Macaca fascicularis: one gene and its partners. The protein of the gene in region 3 purifies or fractionates together with the protein of the main gene of each other region. This does not show direct contact. Links are inferred from orthologs where the notes say so. Each region holds a gene or a part of one and is shown on either strand. Other genes may lie near its edges.

The links. Proteins that work in one complex are often made in the same cells at the same time.
Region 1: the proteins of LARP7 (region 3) and H1-4 purify together in Homo sapiens (affinity purification with mass spectrometry; 3 studies listed by BioGRID and IntAct, with this or other methods). This does not show direct contact. The link is inferred for Macaca fascicularis from reciprocal best matches to the Homo sapiens genes LARP7 and H1-4.
Region 2: the proteins of LARP7 (region 3) and DHX9 purify together in Homo sapiens (affinity purification with mass spectrometry; 3 studies listed by BioGRID and IntAct, with this or other methods). This does not show direct contact. The link is inferred for Macaca fascicularis from reciprocal best matches to the Homo sapiens genes LARP7 and DHX9.
Region 4: the proteins of LARP7 (region 3) and CCNT1 purify together in Homo sapiens (affinity purification with mass spectrometry; 10 studies listed by BioGRID and IntAct, with this or other methods). This does not show direct contact. The link is inferred for Macaca fascicularis from reciprocal best matches to the Homo sapiens genes LARP7 and CCNT1.
Region 5: the proteins of LARP7 (region 3) and PURB purify together in Homo sapiens (affinity purification with mass spectrometry; 3 studies listed by BioGRID and IntAct, with this or other methods). This does not show direct contact. The link is inferred for Macaca fascicularis from reciprocal best matches to the Homo sapiens genes LARP7 and PURB.

The regions. Positions count from the first base shown.
Region 1 is NC_088378.1:146,774,866-146,779,011, forward strand, and holds the start of H1-4 (histone H1.4), read right to left. Parts: upstream 2,724-4,146; 5' UTR 2,661-2,723; coding exon 2,001-2,660; 3' UTR 966-2,000; coding exon of another isoform or gene 585-965; 3' UTR 576-584; intron 279-575; exon of another isoform or gene 1-278. Other genes in the region: histone H2B type 1-M, read right to left, coding at 585-965. UniProt on the Homo sapiens protein: Histone H1 protein binds to linker DNA between nucleosomes forming the macromolecular structure known as the chromatin fiber. Histones H1 are necessary for the condensation of nucleosome chains into higher-order structured fibers.
Region 2 is NC_088375.1:40,371,624-40,375,755, reverse strand, and holds the start of DHX9 (ATP-dependent RNA helicase A), read right to left. Parts: upstream 2,801-4,132; 5' UTR 2,691-2,800; intron 1-2,690. UniProt on the Homo sapiens protein: Multifunctional ATP-dependent nucleic acid helicase that unwinds DNA and RNA in a 3' to 5' direction and that plays important roles in many processes, such as DNA replication, transcriptional activation, post-transcriptional RNA regulation, mRNA translation and RNA-mediated gene silencing.
Region 3 is NC_088379.1:118,138,925-118,142,963, forward strand, and holds the start of LARP7 (la-related protein 7), read left to right. Parts: upstream 1-1,239; 5' UTR 1,240-1,383; exon of another isoform or gene 1,384-2,145; intron 2,146-3,078; 5' UTR 3,079-3,167; intron 3,168-3,869; 5' UTR 3,870-3,964; intron 3,965-4,039. UniProt on the Homo sapiens protein: RNA-binding protein that specifically binds distinct small nuclear RNA (snRNAs) and regulates their processing and function.
Region 4 is NC_088385.1:55,529,737-55,533,972, forward strand, and holds the start of CCNT1 (cyclin-T1), read right to left. Parts: upstream 2,801-4,236; 5' UTR 2,743-2,800; coding exon 2,582-2,742; intron 1-2,581. UniProt on the Homo sapiens protein: Regulatory subunit of the cyclin-dependent kinase pair (CDK9/cyclin-T1) complex, also called positive transcription elongation factor B (P-TEFb), which facilitates the transition from abortive to productive elongation by phosphorylating the CTD (C-terminal domain) of the large subunit of RNA polymerase II (RNA Pol II).
Region 5 is NC_088377.1:85,453,972-85,458,032, forward strand, and holds the start of PURB (transcriptional regulator protein Pur-beta), read left to right. Parts: upstream 1-1,261; 5' UTR 1,262-1,424; coding exon 1,425-2,363; 3' UTR 2,364-4,061. UniProt on the Homo sapiens protein: Transcriptional regulator which can act as an activator or a repressor.

The DNA.
Region 1 (4,146 bases), on a different chromosome or scaffold from region 3:
TCCCCTACTCGCCTAAGAGCTTCAGAGAGAAACTGGCCCAATTACAAAGCAAACCAGAAACCTTTGTAATACTTCCGTGTTCAGCTCACATTGTCTTCAGCCTTTACTTGCAGTTATCACGTATCTGCATGGTAAAAATTTTACAAGAAAACGGGGGGCGGGGGTGATGGTGGAGAAAGCTCCAAACAGAAGGAAGTTGCAAAAGGGTGCTCTTTTGTGCTCAGGGTGGGCCGTCACCACACGAAGTCCCAGATCAACATCACGATCAACTTGGAAATCTGCACACGGAAACGAAAGAGCTGTACACTTACAGTACTTTCAGTTTATGTTAGTGTTATCTGACACTAAATGAGCTAATGATCTAGTATGTGCCCATAGCACTCAACTTCTGGTACCTATTGTTACTACCTATAATTTCCAAGTATTTCCTCTGCAGTACTAACATAACATTAAAGATTGGTAGTATGGTGCTGAGAAATCCAATAATCCCCCTTTTGAATGAAATTACAACTCATTTACTGAAAACATGCGTGGCTCTTAAAAGAGCCTTTGGGATTAGGTGTAAAGATGCTTACTTGGCAAAGTTACTTGGAACTGGTGTACTTGGTGACGGCCTTGGTGCCCTCCGACACGGCGTGCTTGGCCAGCTCCCCCGGAAGCAGCAGGCGCACGGCCGTCTGGATCTCCCTGGAAGTGATGGTCGAGCGCTTGTTGTAGTGCGCCAGGCGGGAAGCCTCGCCGGCGATGCGCTCGAAGATGTCGTTGACGAAGGAATTCATGATCCCCATAGCCTTGGAAGAGATGCCGGTGTCGGGGTGGACCTGCTTCAGCACCTTGTACACATACACGGAATAGCTCTCTTTGCGGCTGCGCTTGCGCTTCTTCCCGTCCTTCTTCTGCGCCTTAGTCACCGCCTTCTTGGAGCCCTTCTTTGGGGCAGGAGCAGACTTGGTAGGCTCAGGCATAGCAACGTTAATAATTACAACACTGTCGCAAACACCTGAGAAAATAATCACTCCCACCGATGCCCCGTTCATTTATAGATGCGGTATTCAAATGAGGTTAATCAGATTTCGTTTATGATTGGATTAATTTTTGTGTGTCGTCACAAATGCCAATGTAAACGACACTTAAAAGTCTACCTTTTCATTGGCTATTTCATTACTTTACTTTTACCCAATCAGAAAGCCCAGACCAGACTACCCGAGGCTACTATAAATAGTCGTCTTTAGACAAGTCAGCTGTGCACTTCTCTTGGAGCAGTTGTTTTTGAGATCACACTTTTTATTAGCGTTGTGGTGTCAGAACGTATACTGAAAGATACTTTAGGAGAGCTCACGTTCTCTTTTCTTCCTCTAACAAATTATAGGACTCGTTGCATACAGAAGTCATGGTAATTGGGATATCCCTGGAAGTCTGGCAGTTTTGCGTTTGGGAAGTCCTTCATCTATGCAAATGCTACATTTAAGGACCACGTATTTTCTGCAGTGTCAATTTCTAATTTTTAGTTGTGGCAGTGGTTGAAATAGTGTACTATGCCACCTGTGTCGAGACGTACTCCTCTGCACTCCATTGCTTGCCATAGTCTGTAGGGAGCCAGCACGGAAATTGAGTGTTCTCTATTCGGAACTCATACGTCCCAGCCTAGAAGCCCGGGAAAATCCCGACTTTTTTTCCCATGCTATTTGCAGGCCAGATCTCGCTAAGTGTTAAGTACTACGGAGGTCGAAATGGGTTTTAACTCCAGTATTCGAAAACGCAATAAAAGCTCAATGACGCGGCTGCACTCCTGCTTGGCCGACGGAACGAGAAATGACCCCCTGGCCAAAAACGGCTCCTCTCTCCCGACTTTGTTCCCGGGAGACCCGCCCCTCAATAGCGGCGTTTTCCCGGCCACACCCCCTGATAGTGTAACAGCTCTTTTACTGAAAGCGGTGGGTGGCTCTGAAAAGAGCCTTTGGGTTGTGTTGAGCTTCTAAGCAGTTGGCCAAAGGAACTTCCTACTTTTTCTTGGCTGCCGCCTTCTTTGGCTTGGCTGCCTTGGGCTTGGCGGTCTTTGGTTTAGCCGCCTTGGGTTTCACTGCTTTGGCCTTCGCTGGGCTCTTGGGCGCTTTTTTTGGCTTGGCTGCTTTAGCCTTTTTCGGGCTTTTCGCTTTTTTGGCTCCAGCAGCCGCAGCCGGCTTCTTCGCCTTCTTTGGGGTCTTCTTGGCGCTCTTCTTAGGGGTGGCTGCCCCCGTCGCCTTCTTGGGCTTCTTCGCCGCTCCTGTAGGCTTCTTGGCTTTGGCCGCGCCTGCCTTTTTAGCTTTAGGCTTGGCTTCCCCGGAGGCCGCCTTCTTGTTGAGTTTGAAAGAACCCGATGCGCCGGTGCCCTTGGTCTGCACCAGAGTGCCCTTGCTCACCAGGCTCTTGAGACCCAGCTTGATGCGGCTGTTGTTCTTCTCCACGTCATAGCCAGCGGCTGCCAGCGCTTTCTTGAGAGCGGCCAAAGATACACCGCTGCGCTCCTTGGAGGCGGCAACAGCCTTAGTAATGAGCTCGGACACGGGGGGCCCAGACGCTTTGCGCTTAGCCGCACCTGCGGACTTGCGAGCCTTCTTCTTCACGGGTGTTTTCTCGGCAGGGGCCGGAGCAGCGGGCGCGGCAGGCGCAGTCTCGGACATGTTGAAGGCAGGCGTGAGAGAGAGAGCAATTCGAGCCGGAAGCAGAGGCACTGGCCGGGACTCGGGCCGCGGCGCTGCGCCCGCCCGTTTATATAGGGCGGAGCTGCGCCGTGATTGGTGCGCTGTCCAGCCCGCCTCGCTGGCAGCCGCAGAGTGTCCTCTCGGATCCCGAGTTGTGTTTGTTACACCTCAAAAAAAGCCAAAAATATAAAAATTGTCTGCACCGAACTACCCGGTTTTTCTCAGATAATGATCCCCGAACCCTCAGGCTTCACGCAGATCTCAAATTATGAGGAAAGCACAAAGCCTTGTGCCAAAAACTTGCAATATTTCCCGCCGTGCTTGGCAAATTTCAACTCAGAGAAACAAAACTTTCTATTTTCTTCGTAAATTATAAACCGATCTTTAACTGTGGAGTTTTCTGACCTCTCAAATATGATTCTCCAAGTGGTTAGCTTCTGATATATCCAAAAAGCATGCCACTGGCATTAAGATTTTTATTACAAATCTGCACTTAAGTGAGGGAAGTAACACAGGCTCCTCGGAGAGTCCTGCCTATTGAGCCGAGGGCATTTGAGTTCATCAAACTGGTTTAGTTTAATGCTAAACAAATTATTCCTCATTTGACATTAAGTTTTGGACCCCTGGGACATCAATCTATGCAGCCGTGGTTTTACATCTGTCCGCTATATCTGAGTTTTAAAACAATTCCTTTGGATAATTCTTTCCCTTTCTGCTCCCAAGGGTTGGGGGCGGGGCTGTTGCTTCTCTCTTCTCTGGACAACTGCTCCATGGATTGAGATACCTTGAATTCAGGGTATTTGGGAACGAAGGGAAGTCCAAAATATACTCAGGGTACAGAGTTGAAAAAAGATTAATTTTCGAATGTGATGTTCATAAAGTCACTGGAAGTGGAGGTGCACTTTTCTTTAAAGCATTTGTCTGCAGCCTTGCTGAGTGCTTTTGGCATATGCTTCAGAACCAAATTGCAATAAAGTAGCTTAGAGCTGGAATTCAAACATTGATAATAAGGGAAAATAAATAAGAACTGTATATTGAAACATATGTACTCCCATTATTAGAGAAGCCCAGCCGCTATTATTACTGAATAGTTGAGGAATGACTAGTCCACTCACCATGTATGGTTTCAATCCCCCTGAAGACTGTATCCCAACGCTTCGCAGAGCGCAATAGAAAGAAAAATAAGTGACATGTAGTGATTAAATGACAAGTTCAAATTTCGATCTCAGAAGCAGAGCTTTGAGAGTCTATCTAAGCTATTATAAATCATTGCCCTCTGAAAACATCCTTTGAACAATGTCTGAGTAAATCTCTTTAGGTAGTTGCCCAACCAAGAAGAGTGTATGTAGGTTGGCAATGAAAGCCCAACTAAAAGAATTATTTCTGAATAACGGTATGGCTGGAACAGTATGGGTGGAACTACAAGCCACTTATCATGGAAACAAAATAAAATTTTGCCCAATGC
Region 2 (4,132 bases), on a different chromosome or scaffold from region 3:
AGACTTAGAAAGTTAAGTAACTTCCAAGTCACCCACAGTGGAGGCCTAAATTCAAATTCAAACAACTATATATTAAGAAACAGCTATCATTTGCATATAAACTCAATGTTTTATTCTCATTCTGATTATGACCATTAGCACACTGTTTCCAAAGTTGTGGTCATGTATTAATAATATAATAAAGTTCAAATACATTAAGCACTCAGTACTGAAGACAGTGACCTATTATTAACTTAAATGTTCTATACCAAATCTCTCCTTTAGGCTTTATTATTTATTAAAATTTGAGGATACTAAAGTTTTCTTGAAATGCAGCAATCAGTCTTGGCACTCCCTCTCTGTCTCAGTCTATAAAATACCAGAAGATATGGAGCCTATCAGTCTAAATGCTGAGTCTAAACTGTAAGGAAGATATCTGAGACCACATTTATAACCAGAGAAAATAAAATGTGCTATGAATTTAGTTTGCTGTGAAACGAATCCTATTACCAGCATTAAACCGTCTGCTTCACGTTTCACGTTTGATGCATTTTGTTAGCACCTACGTCTAATGCATCAAACTGTACCCTGGCATAAATTTGTTACGTTTGAGTGGTCACAGTCTAACTCTGGTCATCCATGTGGCGAAGGGAATGTTCTATTAACAAAAAAGCCGTGGAAAGCTGAAGATGTTTATCTGGAAATTCCACCTCGTGAATAATTAAACAACAAGCCCTCATGGTGAATGAGTAATATGAAGGATTATACTATCAAACTCCTGTCTCTCTAGTCTCATACAACCCCATAATTTTCAATACCAACTACATGCTATCGATGCTCAAATATATATATTGAAGGTTTAGTCTTTTCTCTCTTTTTTTTTCTTTTTTTGAGACAGAGTCTCATTCAGTCGCAGACTGTAGTGGCGAGATCTCGGCTCACTGCAACCTCCGCCTCCAGGGTTCAAGCGATTCTCCTGCCTCAGCCTCCCCAGTAGCCGGGACTACAGGCGCCCGCCACCACGACCAGCTAATTTTTTATATTTTTAGTATACACGGGGTTTCACCGTGTTAGCCGGGGTTGTCTGGATCTCCTAACCTCTTGATCCGCCCGCCTCAGCCTCCCAAAGTGCTGGGATTACAGGCGTTAGCCACAGCTCCCGGCCCGTCGTTTCTCTTTAAAGTCCAAAATCAAATGCATCCAACTGTGGCACTAACTCACCCATCTGCATGCTATCTTGGCATCTCAGTCAAAACAGAATTTTAAATTTCCCCTCAAATCTGTTCCAACACCCTACCCTACATTTCGGTTTCCATAAACGGCACAACATCCACCAAGTTACTCCTGGCACAAGTTGAGAGTCGTCCACTCCCTGAAGATTCTCCATAGTTATCCTTTGTAGAACCCTTACTGTGTGTCAAACAATATCCATAATAGATCATCTAAATGGAACTATTTTACTTAATCCTTAGTAATCTTGTATAGGTAAGACCACTATCCCTTTAGAGAAGGAAACTGAGACAAAGAATATCTTGCCTCAGAAAGACAGAGCTACTAATTAGAAGAACAATAATTCGGGCAGGCGCTGTGGCTCACGCCTGGAATCCTAACACTTTGGGAGGCCAAGGCAGTCGGATCACGAGGTCAAGATACCGAGATCATCCTGGCCAACATGATGAAACCCCGTTTCTACTAAAAATACAAAAATTAGCTGGGCGTGGTGGCGCGCGCCTGTAGTCCCAGCTACTGAGGGAGGCTGAGGCAGGAGAATCACTTGAACCCGGGAGACGGAGGTTGCAGTGGGCCGCGATCGCGCCACTGCACTCCAGCCTGGCGACAGAGAGAGACTCCGTCCAAAAAAAAAAAAAAAAAAAAATCAAGAATTTCAGAAAACGTAGCCTGACTCCAGATCTACTACCTTCCACCACTGCGCATTTCTCCTTCAAAATACGTCCCCTATCCATTCGTTTCTCCCCATCTCTCCTGCCACCACTACTGCACACCCGGCTAAATACTGTCCTATACGGTTTCTGTTTCCATTCTTGCCACCCTAAAACCCATTCTCCTTTGAAGGCCTTCTCGCCACACTCCAGTCACATGGCCTGCTTTCAGCTCCCGCGCAGTCTCTGCCGTTAGGCGCTAACTAATCCCTTCCGCTTCTGCAGGCTCTGCTTTTCCTTCGCGTCGGCCGAGGTGATCAGCTCAAAGCCTCCCTCCTTCGAGACGCCTCACCTCGCTATACTAGCCAAAGGCGCTCTCCCTTTACATTCTTTAATTTCTTTTTGCTCTAGCCACAAGGCCTGCACGACGGCGCCAGTTATTTGTGGCTTGAACGAATGACTGAAAGGCCCTAGGTGAGTGGCGCCCCGGCGGCAACCACCACAGGCGATGCACCCTCTTCCCTCAGCCGCCGCGGTGCTCCGGCGTACGCAGGCCAGAGGAGGAAGCGGGCCTTGGCTGCTAGAGGCAGCAGCGGGAACCGCTGGGCGAAGGGGAGGGGGCCACAGGCGGCCTGGGCAGCGCAAGCGCACCTCGGCGAGGCGCGCACGCAACCCGCAATCCGGGGACCCGCGGGCGGCTCGTCCCTTCCCCCACCCCCAGCCGCCGCCGCCGCCCGCGCTTCGCAACAAAGCCGGCTGCGGAGCCACGGTCCACGCAGCCCGCCCGCGACCCCGCCGCCCCGCATGATGGTCGTAACGTCTCTCCCTTACCAGCCTTCGCTTCCTGGTGCCCAGCTCTTAGGACCGTGTGTGACTCTGGCCTTCCACGGAGACAACAGAGAAACGCACTGCAACTCGCATGGAGGAATCGGCGAAATGGCTCCGACCGCGGCGCGAGGGGGCGGGACTAGCGAGCGTACGCATGCGCAGAACGCGCGCCGGGGGCGGGGGATGGTGAGGGCGCGCCAATAGAGGGGGCGGGGCTCAGCCACCTCGCGGCGCGGAAGGGTTTCGTTGCTAGGGAGATGCGCTGCGCCAGGCAGGCAGCGGGCCAGGCCTGCTACTCTGGATAATCCGCTACCCGCGATAATCCGCTACCCGCTTTTGCGCATGTTAGGGATTTGACGACCTGTAGCATTCTGATGCAGCAAAATGTTTCGTAGGGTCTGTCATAGGGATGTCTGGTGAGAGGAGGTTCCCTTCGAAGGCAGAACTGGAAACCTTGCTGCTAACTGGGTAGGGTTGTTGAGATAATTACATGAAATGGCATATGAAGGGGGACTTAGTTCAATACCTGGCACGTGGTAGGTGTTCAGTAGGCGTAGTTACTGTATTGATTCAGATAGTCTCAACGCCAATGTCTCTTGAAAGAAATAAACTGGCCGGGCGCGGTGCCTGCAATCCCAGCACTTTGGGAGGCCGAGGTGGGCGAATCACTTGAGATCAGGAGTTCGAGACCAGCCTGGCCAACGTGGTGAAACCCCGTCTCTACTAAAAAAATACAAAAATTAGCCGGGCATGGGGGCGGGCACCTGCAATCCCAGCTACTTGGGTGGCTGGGCGGGCTCCTGCAATCCCAGCTACTCAGGAGGCTGAAGCAGGAGAATCGCTTGAACCCTGGGGTGGGGGCTGGGGGGGCGGCGGAGGTTGCAGTGGACCGAGATCACACCATTGCCTGGGCGAGAGAGTGAGGCTCCGTCTCAAAAACAAAAAACCATGAAAGAAATAAGCTTAGTGAAAGCGGGCGTTCTGCCTGGCTAACGCAGGTCGCTCTCTGCTGTGCCTGGAACATTGTAAGTGCTCAGCAAACTAGTTTAAGGTAGGAATAAAATCTGCAAGGTTGCTTTTGTTTAAATTGGATAAACTTTTGTGTTCCAAGTCTTTGGAATAATTGTATCCTTAATTATTATACTAGTCATTGTTAAATTTTGAACTCCAGTGCTTCCTATGAAGGTAATGATACACAACATTTCCAGCTGGGATTGTTCCAGGGAATCCAGATGAATCAATTATCTGGGCTCATTATATCTATGGATATAATTCACCCGTTTCCATATGTTTTTCTTAATCCTTCTAGCTCACAGTGATCACTCCCTTTAAAACTGTCATTCCTAAAATCAGCACAACATAGTTTAGCATTTACTCATTTTCTTCATGTGATTGTTCTCTTTAATTAAGAATAAAATCACTGAAGGAAAGACCTTAATTTTTTT
Region 3 (4,039 bases):
CCGAGTAGCTAGGACTACAGGCGCCCGCCGCCTCGCCCGGCTAGTTTTTTTTTTTTTTTTTTTTGTATTTTTTAGTAGAGACGGGGTTTCACCGTGTTCGCCAGGATGGTCTCGATCTCCTGACCTAGTGATCCGCCCGTCTTGGCCTCCCAAAGTGCTGGGATTACAGGCTTGAGCCACCGCGCCCGGCCACCCTTTCTTAACTTAGCATTAATCAGAAAAAATTATTTAAGATAACAGCATCATATATTTAAGTGAGATGCAAAGATAAAGAGTTTTTTCCAAGTGTTCATCTGTCCACGTCTACCAGCCAATTCACCTGCTGACCGACTTCTAACAGGTGAAAGATTAATCTCCAAAGAAGTTTTTAAAGATCCCAAATGTTCTGTGATAATTATATACATACATACATCTACAGATATACGTACATACACACACATATATATACCTTGTGCTACGATATGTACAGATACAATACATATACATAAAACTCGGTGTTCTCAGTAAAGTATGAGCCATTTTTCATTTAATTACAAGATGTTTTTCCTTTTGTTTTTAGACAAGGAGGATTTTTTGAACCTAACCCTGAACCTCTAAATAGTTCAGATAACAAAGTTTTGGAATCACGAATTCAACATTGTTAAGAAACCATCCAGTCCAAATAAACAAAGGAAACCCACATATCATTTGCCAAGATTCTAATAACCATAATCCTGTGTCACCAAATGACAATGGAGACTCGATCCTTTATCAGTCCTAAATACGAACAGCAAAGTCCCCTTTGGTCCTCATACGTACTCGAAATTGCAAAGCAGGGCCTGGGAAAAGCGGTGAAGAGGCAACCCTTATTACAAGCAGTCCGAGTAGCTGTTACTAATCCTGGTTCCAAACAGCATCCTTCCCGGTTCTCTTCTTACGGAGCAGAGTCTTTTGTCCCTTCGCCCCAAATCGCTCAAGCCATTCCTAGGAAAGCTCGAGAAACACTTCACCTCACCTGTCAAAATTACAGAAAATCCACTTTCGAATTTTTCCCGCGAAAGAATGTGACGTCATTAACGCGGGACCTCACCAGATGAGGACCCAAAACTTGGCCCGTCCACCTCCGCCCAAGCCAAAAACCGCCGTTTTCAAACCGCCAATCAAATTCTTCCTTGGCTTCGAGGCTCTCAGCCGGCCGCGCTCTCCGATGCCCCGCCCTCCCGGAACCACCTCGCCTGTGACGTAGGTGGCGCGCGCACTGCCTTGGGCCCGTCTTTCTCGAGCGGGACCGGCGAACGTTGTCGCTCATCCTATGACGCGAAAGTAACCAAGACTATCAGGATCGGGAGACGGAAAGGGCTGAAGGCCGCAGTACTTGACCCTGTATTTTGGGAGTTGAACGGAGTAAGTTACAAGCGGCGTATAGGGTCGCACAGCTTGGGCGACGTCTGATTAACTCTCCGTCCTTTTTCTTGCGGTCCACTCTATCATTTGTCGTCCTTCTTACCCCGCCTCCCGCCTGCGCATCCATCAATTCCTTGACCTAGTTATCTATGCGCACGCGCAAAAGTCTTCCGGCAGTACTTGTAGTTCTCGTTTTCAGAGAGTAGGGGCGCATAGGGGCCCAGCATGGGGAGGTTTGGGGCGCGCCCTGCCTATGACGTTGTCCTTGTGGAAGTACGGGTGCCGAGAGAAGCAGTAGTCAGTAAAGACAGTGCAGTATTTCGCAGATTGGAGCTGACTTGTGGCTGCCAGAGGATAGTGAACGTGAGGATTTATATTCTAAAATTATCATCTTCTTTTGCAGGACTCTGCCATAGTCCTCAAAGAGTTAAAAATCCAGTTATGGAAGGGAACTAACAAGTGCTAGATACGGTGTGCAGAGTGCGTTAGCAAAAAAACTTAAGCGAAAACAAATGAGGAGGCAGTTAATTAGAGGACACAGGGTGGTGGAACATCTCAAAGAGTAAGATGCCATTTAACCTGGGCCTTGAAAATTTAGTAAGGAAATTTAGACGAGAAGATTCAGACAAAGCAGAAGACACAGGCCACTACGTGTTGAGGGACTTGAATTGTAAGCAGTGACTAGAACAATGATTCTTAACCTGTTGTGAAACGCTTTTGAAAACCTAATAAAAGTTATGGATTAGCTTCTCAGGAAAACATGTATGTACCTTTTAAAACATTTTGCGAGGCCGGGCACCGTGGCTCACGCCTGTAATCCCAGCACTCTGGGAGGCCGACACGGGCGGATCACTTGAGGTCAGGGGTTCAAGACCAACCTGGCCAATGTGACAAAACCGCGTCTCTACTAAAAACACAGAAATTAGCGGGGAGTGGTGGTGCACGCCTGTAGTCCCTTAAGAGGCCGGGTTGGGAGAATCTTGAACTCGGGAAGTGGAGATTACAGTGAGCCAGGATCGCGCCACTGCACTCCAGCCTGGGCGACAGAGAGAGGCTCCGTCTCCAAACAAACATTTCGCATATAATTTCCTCAGGAAAAATTACGAAATAATTTTAAATAGCAAACACACACAAATGACTTGGTGTCCTGTCTAACTCAGTCTTCCAGGTTATCTGTCTTTCGTGATCTTTGAACTATTTTTCAACCATGTAACCCGCTACAACAACATGGAAATGAGTTTGTCCAGTAAAGATGCAATTAATTATTATTCTGAGCAGTATTTATTAATATTTATTTCAACGTTCCTTATTGCCTATGTACGTGCTTTTTTTTTTTTTTTTTTTTTTTAAGAAGGAGTCTGGCTCTGTCGCCCAGGCTGGAGTGTAGTGGCCGGATCTCAGCTCACTGCAAGCTCTGCCTCCCGGGTTTACGCCATTCTCCTGCCTCAGCCTCCCGAGTAGCTGGGACTACAGGCGCCCGCCACCTCGCCCGGCTAGTTTTTTGTATTTTTTAGTAGAGACGGGGTTTCACCGTGTTAACCGGGATGGTCTCGATCTCCTGACCTTGTGATCCTCCCACCTCGGCCTCCCAAAGTGCTGGGATTACAGGCTTGAGCCACCGCGCCCGGCCGTACCTGCTTTTTAAATTCTTCTTTGAACTGGTTTTTAACACTTAACTGATTCCTTTATTTACAGTCCAGCACCACATACCGACAGACCGCATGTATGACAGTGGTCCCATAAGATTATAGGTGTGTAGTAGGCGATACTACCTAGGTTTGTAGGTGAGTACATCATACAATAACTACATACCCTACGATGTACTTACTCACCTGAATATGCATTTCTCAGAATGTGTCCTTGTCATTAAGCAACCCATGACTGTGCTTAAATCTTTACCATGTATTCCATTTTATATTTGTACAAGAGTCTTAATTTTACCTTATCTTTAAAATGTATTATTTACAATTTAACGGAGCCCACAAGAATTCTTGTCCAGACAAAGTTGCATGGACTTCAGATTAAGAATTCCTGAGTCAGAACATAGAGTCCATGGTGATAAATTGCAGGAAATTCTAACAAAAGGTAGACAATGTGGGATCAAACATACCTGGGATAATTTACTTAGCTAGCTTGGGCCAAGTCACATAACTTTTTTGAGTTTTTGTATTAAGAAGATGGAAGAAACTGCTACCTAGTGGGATTGTGAGGATTTACAAAAATGTATATAAAATTACTGGTATTATTACCCAGTAGCTTTTATTCTGCATTTAAAGCAACTAAAATGTTACTTTTTTTTTTTTTTTGGAGTCTTGCTCTGTTGCCCAGGTTGGAGTGCAGTGGCACAATCTTGGCTCACTGCAAGCTCCGCCTCCCGGGTTCACGCCATTCTCCTGCCTCAGCCTCCCGAGTAACTGGGACTACAGGCGCCCGCCACCACACCCGGCTAATTTGTTTTCTTTTTTTTTTTTTTTTTGTATTTTTAGTAGAGATGGGATCTCACCTTGTTAACCAGAATGGTCTCCATCTCCTGACCTCGTGATCCACCGCCTCAGCCTCCCAAAGTGCTGGGATTACAAACGTGAGCCACTGCGTCGTGACTTTTTTTTTTTTAAACAATGTTTTCTTAAACTGCATATTATGTTATGGGAAGGTG
Region 4 (4,236 bases), on a different chromosome or scaffold from region 3:
GAGGCAGGAGAATCGCTTGAAACGGGAGGCGGAGGTTGCGGAGAGCCAAGATCACACCATTGCACTCCAGCCTGGGCAACAAGAACAAAACTCCACCTCCAAAAAAAAAAAAAAAACCAATTTATAAGGCCTGGCTGGGCACGGTGGTTCACACCTGTAATCCCAGGACTTTGGGTAGAGGCAGAGGCAGGTGGATCACCTGAGGTCAGGAGTTTGAGACCAGTTTGGGCAACATGGCGAAACCCCTCCTTGACTAAAAACACAAAAATTAGCCAGGCATGGTGGCAGATATCTATAATCTAATATGATTTACAGCGCCCACCCTGATCTGGCCCATAGGTATGTCTCCACTACCTCTCTCACCTGCTAAACTCCATCAACTAAATTACTTTCTTTTTTTTTTTTTCAGACAGAGTCTCGTTCTGTCACCCAGGCTGAGTGCAGTGGCACAACCTCAGCTCGCTGAAACCTTCACCTCCTGGGATCAAGCAATTCTCCTGCCTCAGCCTCCCAAGTAGCTGGGACTACCGGCTGGGCCACCATGCCTGGCTAATTTTTGTATTTTTAGTAGAGATGGGGTTTCACCTTGTTGGCCAGGCTGGTGTCGAACTCCTGACCTCAAGTGATCCGCCCGCCTCAGTCTCCCAAAGTGCTGGGATTACAGGCATGAGCCACCACAATCGGCCTAAATTATTTTCAGTTCCACTTCTCTCTGGCAACCAAGCCTTCTCATGTGGTGATCCACGGGACAGGAAACATCTGAAATGATCTGATAATTCATTAACTGAAGAAGAAGAAAAAACTTGTAAATGCCTTACTTCTAAAAACTTCAGTAGACAATATGGGGTAGAGAGATGATGCAGTCCCAAATTACAACAGCCTTTTTTTGAGGGGGCAGAGTCTCGCTCTGTCGCCCAGGCTGGAGTGCACTGGTACCATCTTGGCTCACTGAAACCTCTGCCTCCCAAATTCGAGCGATTCTCCTGCCTCAGCTTCCCCAGTAGCTGAGATTATAGGCACTCGCCACCAAACATGGCTAATTTTTGTATTTTTAGTAGGGACGGGGTTTCACCATTTTGGCCAGGCTGGTCTTGAAGTCCTGGCCTCAAGTGATCGACCCGCCTGGGCCTCCCAAAGTGCTGGTATTACAGGTGCGAGCCACCGCGCCTGGCTGACAACCTTAATGACAACACACATACAAAAAGGAAAGCGTTTTAAGGATACACTGAAATAGAATTTCGAACAAAAAGATTTACTCCGTACTGATAGGATGCTTAGGAAACACATCTGGACATCAGCAGGAAACAAACTGGCGATAAAAAAGACACCCATTTTGAGATGCACACACCCTTAAGATACAAACATTACTGTCAGCCACACATTTAAATAGAAGCTGCACCCAAGAAAATTTTCATACACAGAGTGGAAAGAACTTTAAAACTATACAAGTTTTCTCCACCACAAAATAAGTATATTTCCTGACAAACAAAAATATGTGGGAGAGGATACCTCATTTTTTTTTTAATTTTTTTTTCTGAGACGGAGTTTCACTATTGTTGCCCAAGCTGGAGTGTAGTGGCGCGATCTCGGCTCACTGCAACCTCCGCCTCCCGGGTTCAAGCGATTCTCCTGCCTCAGCCTCCTGACTAGCTGGGATTACAGCTGCCCGCCACTAAGCCGGGGTAATTTTTTGTATTTTTAGTAGACAGGGGTTTAATTATGTTGGCCAGGCTGGTCTCGAACTCCTGACCTCAGGTGATCCACCCGCCTCGGCCTCCCAGAAGTGCAGAGATTACAGGTGTGAGCCACCGCACCCGGCCGTTACCTCATTTTTGAAATAGAAAGAAAATGAAATACACACCACCACTCTAAGTAACTTAAGGACCCAGTATTTTGTAAACGATTTAAAACATTAGATTCGTGGGTAACCCCTACAAACGTAAACTAACATCTTTCCTCTGAAATTCTATAAAACAGCAGCTACTAATTGAGCATCTTAATGCAAAGCATTGTGATGGACACAGAATCAAACACAAGAGGTATCATCCCATTTTATAGACAAGACGACCAAGAATTTGACAGGTCACTTAAACAGCTAGCAGATGAGGAATGGATTTTGGACCAAGGCTGAGGCATTAATTCTAGACCACCCTTTATAAGACTTTCAGGTACTGAATTTCTCGAAATTTACACACTAGGTTTCGGAAGCAGCCCTCAACAGAGAAACCTCTGCCAGACCCAAACCCCTAGGGCACAGCGGAAAATGAGAAACTTAACGTCACCAGAGCCGATCAGAACACAATGAAGAGAGAGTTGGAAGGGCTGGTTAAAACACGAAGCCGGGAAGGATACGAATGCCCAGCAAGGTTGGTGGCACGGGTGAGCGAGCGGGAAATCAACTCCGCCTCGCTTCCCTAGCGCGAACTGAGTTTCAGCCCGCCCCATCGTGGGCTCTCCCAACTAGACATCCAGCTTCTGCCCACCTTCTTCCCCACTTTCGTCCCCCACCAGAGCCTGAGACCTAGACGCCAGAGCATGGCGGGACCAACTCAAAGGCCGAAGGCCTAGGCCGCAAGGATACACGTTAAGACGCTGCCCCATGTCCTGGAGCAGATTGGCCGCCTGCTGGCGATAAGAAAGTTCTTTATCTGGGTCCACACCAAATCGACGGGATGGGCTATTTTCCAGCTGTTCTCGAGTGAAATACCACCGTTTGTTGTTGTTCTTCCTGTCTCCCTCCATAATGCTTCAACCAGAAGGCAGCGGCGGAGGCTGCAAACACTTCCCAGCGTCACCTAAGTAGCGACCCACATCCGCTGTGCGGGGGCAACTGCGACTTGACGAACTTCCGCTAAGCGTCGACCGCCGGGTTGTGACTCTCTTCCGTAAAGAAAGCAAAAGTCAAAGGACCTACTTCCGGAATGCACCTCGCGACACCCCGTAGCCGAGTTAACAGCCAATATGCGACGAGAAAAAAACCTTGAGGCGAGGACGCAGGCGCGTCACGTGACCCTTGGGAGGTGGCGTGGGCTTAGAAGTTCTCGCTTAAAAACCATGAATCTTCCCGCGAGAACCGGATTGAGCGTTGGCGCCCGGGGTTAGGTTGTGAGGTCGCAATTGTAGTGGTATGAGGCGCCCGCCCACGCGCCGCTTGGTGGTTCTTAGGAGAACTTAGTTTGTGACTGCAGTGGTGATATAAAATGGGGCAGATGGACCGCGCGCGGTGGTTCACGTCGGTAATCTCAGCACTTTGGGAGCCCGAAGCAGGCGGATCACGAGGTCAGGAGTTCGAGACCAGCCTGGTCAATATGGCGAAACCCTGGTCTCTACTAAAAATACAAAATTAGCCGGGCGTGGTGGCGTGCGCCTGTAGTCCCAGGAACTCGGGAAGCTGAGGCAGGAGAATCGCTTGAACCCGGGAGACGGAGGTCGCAGTGAGCCGAGATCGCGCCACTGCACCCCAGCCTCCAGCCTGGGTGACAAAGCGAGACTCCGTCTAAAAAATAAATAAAATAAAAATGGGGCAGATGAACTTGAAAGAGAAAGTAGGTGAGGTTGTCAGAAACTGAAAAACAGAATCAAATGGTGGGGCTCTTTCGTATATGGGAACATAAAGCAACTAGAAGGCTGTTACATTGTTGGTAGCAATGTAAAATACGACAACCCATTTGGAGAGGTCGCTTTAATGTGTAGCCAAATTCATGAAAACATTCTCACGTTTCGCCGCAGTGATCCAACTTAAAGGAATAAAATGAAATTAATAACATTAAGAGCTTACATGTCCCATGCACAATACTGACTTAAATATACTGTTTCATTTATTCAGCGGAACTCTCAAGAGGTAATTTTTAAGTACGTTTGCTAATGGGTGAACTAATACTGCCCCTTGAGTGTGAAAAGCCTCCACCACTACCCCTCACTTGCAGAGATTAGCAAATTCCTGCCCTCTGTCAAGATATTTCCCAGCTCCTTTGCCGGCGCGGTGGCTCACGCCTGTAATCCCAGCAGTTTGGGAGGCCAAGGCGGGCGGATCACCTGAAGTCCGGAGTTGGAGACCAGCCTGGCCAACATGGTGAAACCTCGTCTCTACTGAAAATACAAAAATTAGCCAAGTGTGGTGGCGCACGCCTGTAATCCCAGCTACTCGGGAGGCTGAGGCAGGAGAATGATTTGAACCCGGGAGGCGAAGGTTGCAGTGAGCCTAAATCTCACCACTGCACTCCAGCCTAGGCGACA
Region 5 (4,061 bases), on a different chromosome or scaffold from region 3:
CAAGACCAGCCTGGCCAACATTGTGGAACCCTGTCTCTACTAAAAATACAAAAATTAGCCGGGTGTGGTGGCAGATGCCTGTAATCCCAGCTACTCAGGAAACTGAGGTAGGAGAATTGCTTGAACCTGGGAGGTGGAGGGTGTAGTGAGCCGAAATCATGTCACTGCACTCCAGCCTGGGCGACAGAGCAAGACTCAAATTTAAAAAAAAAAAAAAAAAAAAATTTAAAGATGAGGACATTTTGGCTTGGGAAAATACTAAGTAACTGGCCAAGGTCAATTTCAAACCCAGTGCAATTGCAGAGCCTACACTTTTTAACACTATTCCAATACTGCCTCTTGTTACACCTCAATGCTTACAACAAAAAGACCTCATAGGAATTATTCGTTTTATTGATAAAGAAACTAAAGATTGGCAGAGTCAATTCCCTTAACCATTTTAATATGGCTAACTGTGTGGACAGTTAACTGATCTCTGGATCCCAAATCTCACCTCATTCTAAACCATCTTCTATGTTGTTCCCACAGTGATCTTTCCAAAATGTGAATCTGATCACATGTGGTGGCTCCAGACTCTGGAGTAGGCACTAACTCTCCCGCACTACAAATAGCTTTCCTTTATCTATTCCACCCCACCGTGTCATCTACGACCATTCTTCAGGCATACACACCCCCAGCTGCTCTGAGCTCCCAGTGTCACGCCCTGGGTGCCTCTGCACTGCCGTCTCCTATGCTGGGTGGCTCTTCTCCAGAGTTGCCAAGCCAACTGCAGCTTGCCCTTCAGAGTGAGCTCATGCCTGCTCTGGGGAACCCCACAGGCCGGTAAGAACCCGCTGCCGAGTACTCCAAAGGATCTCCCTCACCCCTATCGCCATAGTGCGTAGACTGGAACCCCGTTCCCAGCACACAACCAGGGCAGGCAGGCTGGGGCCTGAGCATGCTCAGCTAACGCCCCGGAAACGAGGAGGGAAGTGAACGACACTGGAGTCTAAAGTAGAAGTGTCATGGGGGAGAGGCGCGTCGACAGACGCAGTGGGAGCCTGAGTCACGCTAACGCTGGCAAGTCCCCAGGCCTAGAAACCGAGCAGTAGCACTAACCGACTCCCACCTTGCCGCCCGCCCAGCGCGGACCCTGACGTCACCCCTCTGCGCCACGCCGCCGCGGCGCTTCCGGCCGCGAGGCCGCGGCGGGCGGGACGGAGTGACCTCACGGGAAGTCGCGCGCCGGAAGTGCCTAGGGCTGCACGGAAGTGGCGGGGGCGGGGCGCGGAGGCGATGGGGGGCGGCGGCGGCCGGCGATGAGCGGCGGGAGCGCGTGAGCGAGCCGGGCGGGCGAGGCTGGGGGGCCCCGGAGCGCGAGCCGCAGGGCGGAGGGCGGGGGCGCGAGCGCGGCGGGCGGTGGCGGCGAGGCGGCGGCCGAGAAGATGGCGGACGGCGACAGCGGCAGCGAGCGCGGCGGCGGCGGTGGGCCGGGCGGGTTCCAGCCCGCGTCCCGCGGCGGCGGCGAGCAGGAGACGCAGGAGCTGGCCTCGAAGCGGCTGGACATCCAGAACAAGCGCTTCTACTTAGATGTGAAGCAGAACGCCAAAGGCCGCTTCCTCAAGATCGCCGAGGTGGGCGCGGGCGGTTCCAAGAGCCGCCTCACGCTGTCCATGGCGGTGGCCGCCGAGTTCCGCGACTCACTGGGAGACTTCATAGAGCACTACGCGCAGCTGGGCCCTAGCAGCCCCGAGCAGCTGGCGGCGGGCGCCGAGGAGGGCGGCGGGCCGCGGCGCGCGCTCAAGAGCGAATTCCTGGTGCGTGAGAACCGCAAGTACTACCTGGACCTCAAGGAGAACCAGCGCGGCCGCTTCCTGCGCATCCGCCAAACGGTCAACCGCGGCAGTGGCGGCTTCGGCGCGGGCCCCGGGCCCGGCGGCTTGCAGAGCGGCCAGACCATCGCGCTGCCTGCGCAGGGCCTCATCGAGTTCCGCGACGCGCTGGCCAAGCTCATCGACGACTACGGAGGCGAGGACGACGAGCTGGCAGGCGGCCCGGGAGGCGGCGCCGGCGGCCCAGGGGGCGGCCTGTATGGAGAGCTCCCGGAGGGCACCTCCATCACCGTGGACTCCAAGCGCTTCTTCTTCGATGTGGGCTGCAACAAATACGGGGTGTTTCTGCGAGTGAGCGAGGTGAAGCCGTCCTACCGCAATGCCATCACCGTGCCCTTCAAAGCCTGGGGCAAGTTCGGAGGCGCCTTTTGCCGGTATGCGGATGAGATGAAAGAAATCCAGGAAAGACAGAGGGATAAGCTTTATGAGCGACGTGGTGGGGGCAGCGGCGGCGGCGAAGAGTCAGAGGGTGAGGAGGTGGATGAGGATTGAAACAGGCAGCTTCCCCTACAGGCCTCCTCCACCCCACCACAATCCCGTTGGCTAGAGAATTCCCCTTCCTGCTCATCCCCAGTGAGCTAGTGGAGAGGGAGCCAGGGAGGCCGCAGAGGGAAAAAAACAAAACATAATATAGTTAAGAGAAATAATCGTAAGAGAACAGTGACGGACAACTTGAGAAAAGCAGTCAAGTTCCAAGGAACTGACAGCAACCTGCAAAGAGGACAACAGCATCTCCTCACCTGCATAAAATTGTCTCAGCTTCTGTTGTTTCTCAACTGAGGTTCCTAAACCCATGAGGATAATCCCTGGAGGGAATAGATCCTTGCACATCCGGGGCAAGAAACACGTCCAGGTTACCCAGACCATTGATAACAGTTGCATTTAGGTTGCATCTGGGTAATCTGGCACAAAAGATCTCTCTCTACGCCTCACTCTTGCAGTGTCTATCCCTTCACCTCCATTGAAATCAGCATTTTGGATCTAGGTCTTCATGGAATCCTTGAGAAGAGAGGCCTTTACAATTATCCAGTTCTGAGGGTTCAGGTTCATGAAAAGAAATGCAACTTGGGATAATCATGGGTTAAAGATAAGATTTCAAGAAGCCATCTAAGAATACAGAACCAAATTGGATCCATTTTTTTTTTGAAAAATGGTTTTGCATGGAACCTGGAGACCAAGGCAAATGTCTTGTCTTTGCAGAATTGTTTTCCGGGATGCCAGTGGATTCAGATAGCAATGCTTGGAGTAGAATCCGTTACTAAAATAGTTCCAAAGTTGACAAAAAATTTTCGAAGATAGAAGCAGTTTTACATTGGGGGTTGCTGAGGTAGGCACAAGAAAAAGTCAGGCATAAAGCACAAGGCAGACTGTTTGAGTGGATTGGTTGCTGCTCACTAAAGTTCTTCCCCTGATCTCTAAATATGGAGGTCATTACCAAGAAATGGCTTTGGTATGAATGAGAGCCAGATCTCCACTGTGTGAGCCAGTGAATTATGGCTAATTCGGCTGTTACAGCCACTGGTTGGCTGGATTTTAAACCATAAAACTTGAAGATTACCTACAAAAGGAACAGTGTGGCTATAAGCCTGAGCTTTAATGGAATATACATCCTCACGGAAAAGTTGGAAATAACCAAAACTGAAGTCTTAATTTACCTTCAGTTTAATCTGTGGATTTGTTCAAATACTAAAGATCCTCAGGTCCAGAATTCCAGCATCATTTATTCTTTTAAAATTTTTAAGAACTTGATCCATTGTATCAGTACCTCACAATCAGAGTTGGCAAATGATGGATGAGTGATTCAAGCAGTGCACCCGGTGGAAGCTGAAATCCATCTGTGAAAGGAACTGAAGTTAACGTGAATATGCTGACTATATCCTGGAAGCATTTTTATACCATCTTGAAATTTCAACAAACTGGCTTTTGCCAGTTAATCCAGCTGTCTTTCAAGAATAAAAGTTGGGGTTTTCAAGGATCGCCTCTTCTATATTTTAAATGGATTTTCAGTAGAAATGATTTTTACTAATCAAGTTAATCCCACCCCATCAAAAGGTATTCCTAGAAATGTCATAGACCTAGGTAACTTTGAATTGAATGGGAGCTAACGTTCTTTCCAAAGTTTTCAGGTATTCTTTGTGTGACACCTTCTCAACCAGGAGGCAAGTAACCCCACCTCCACAATCTTAGTAT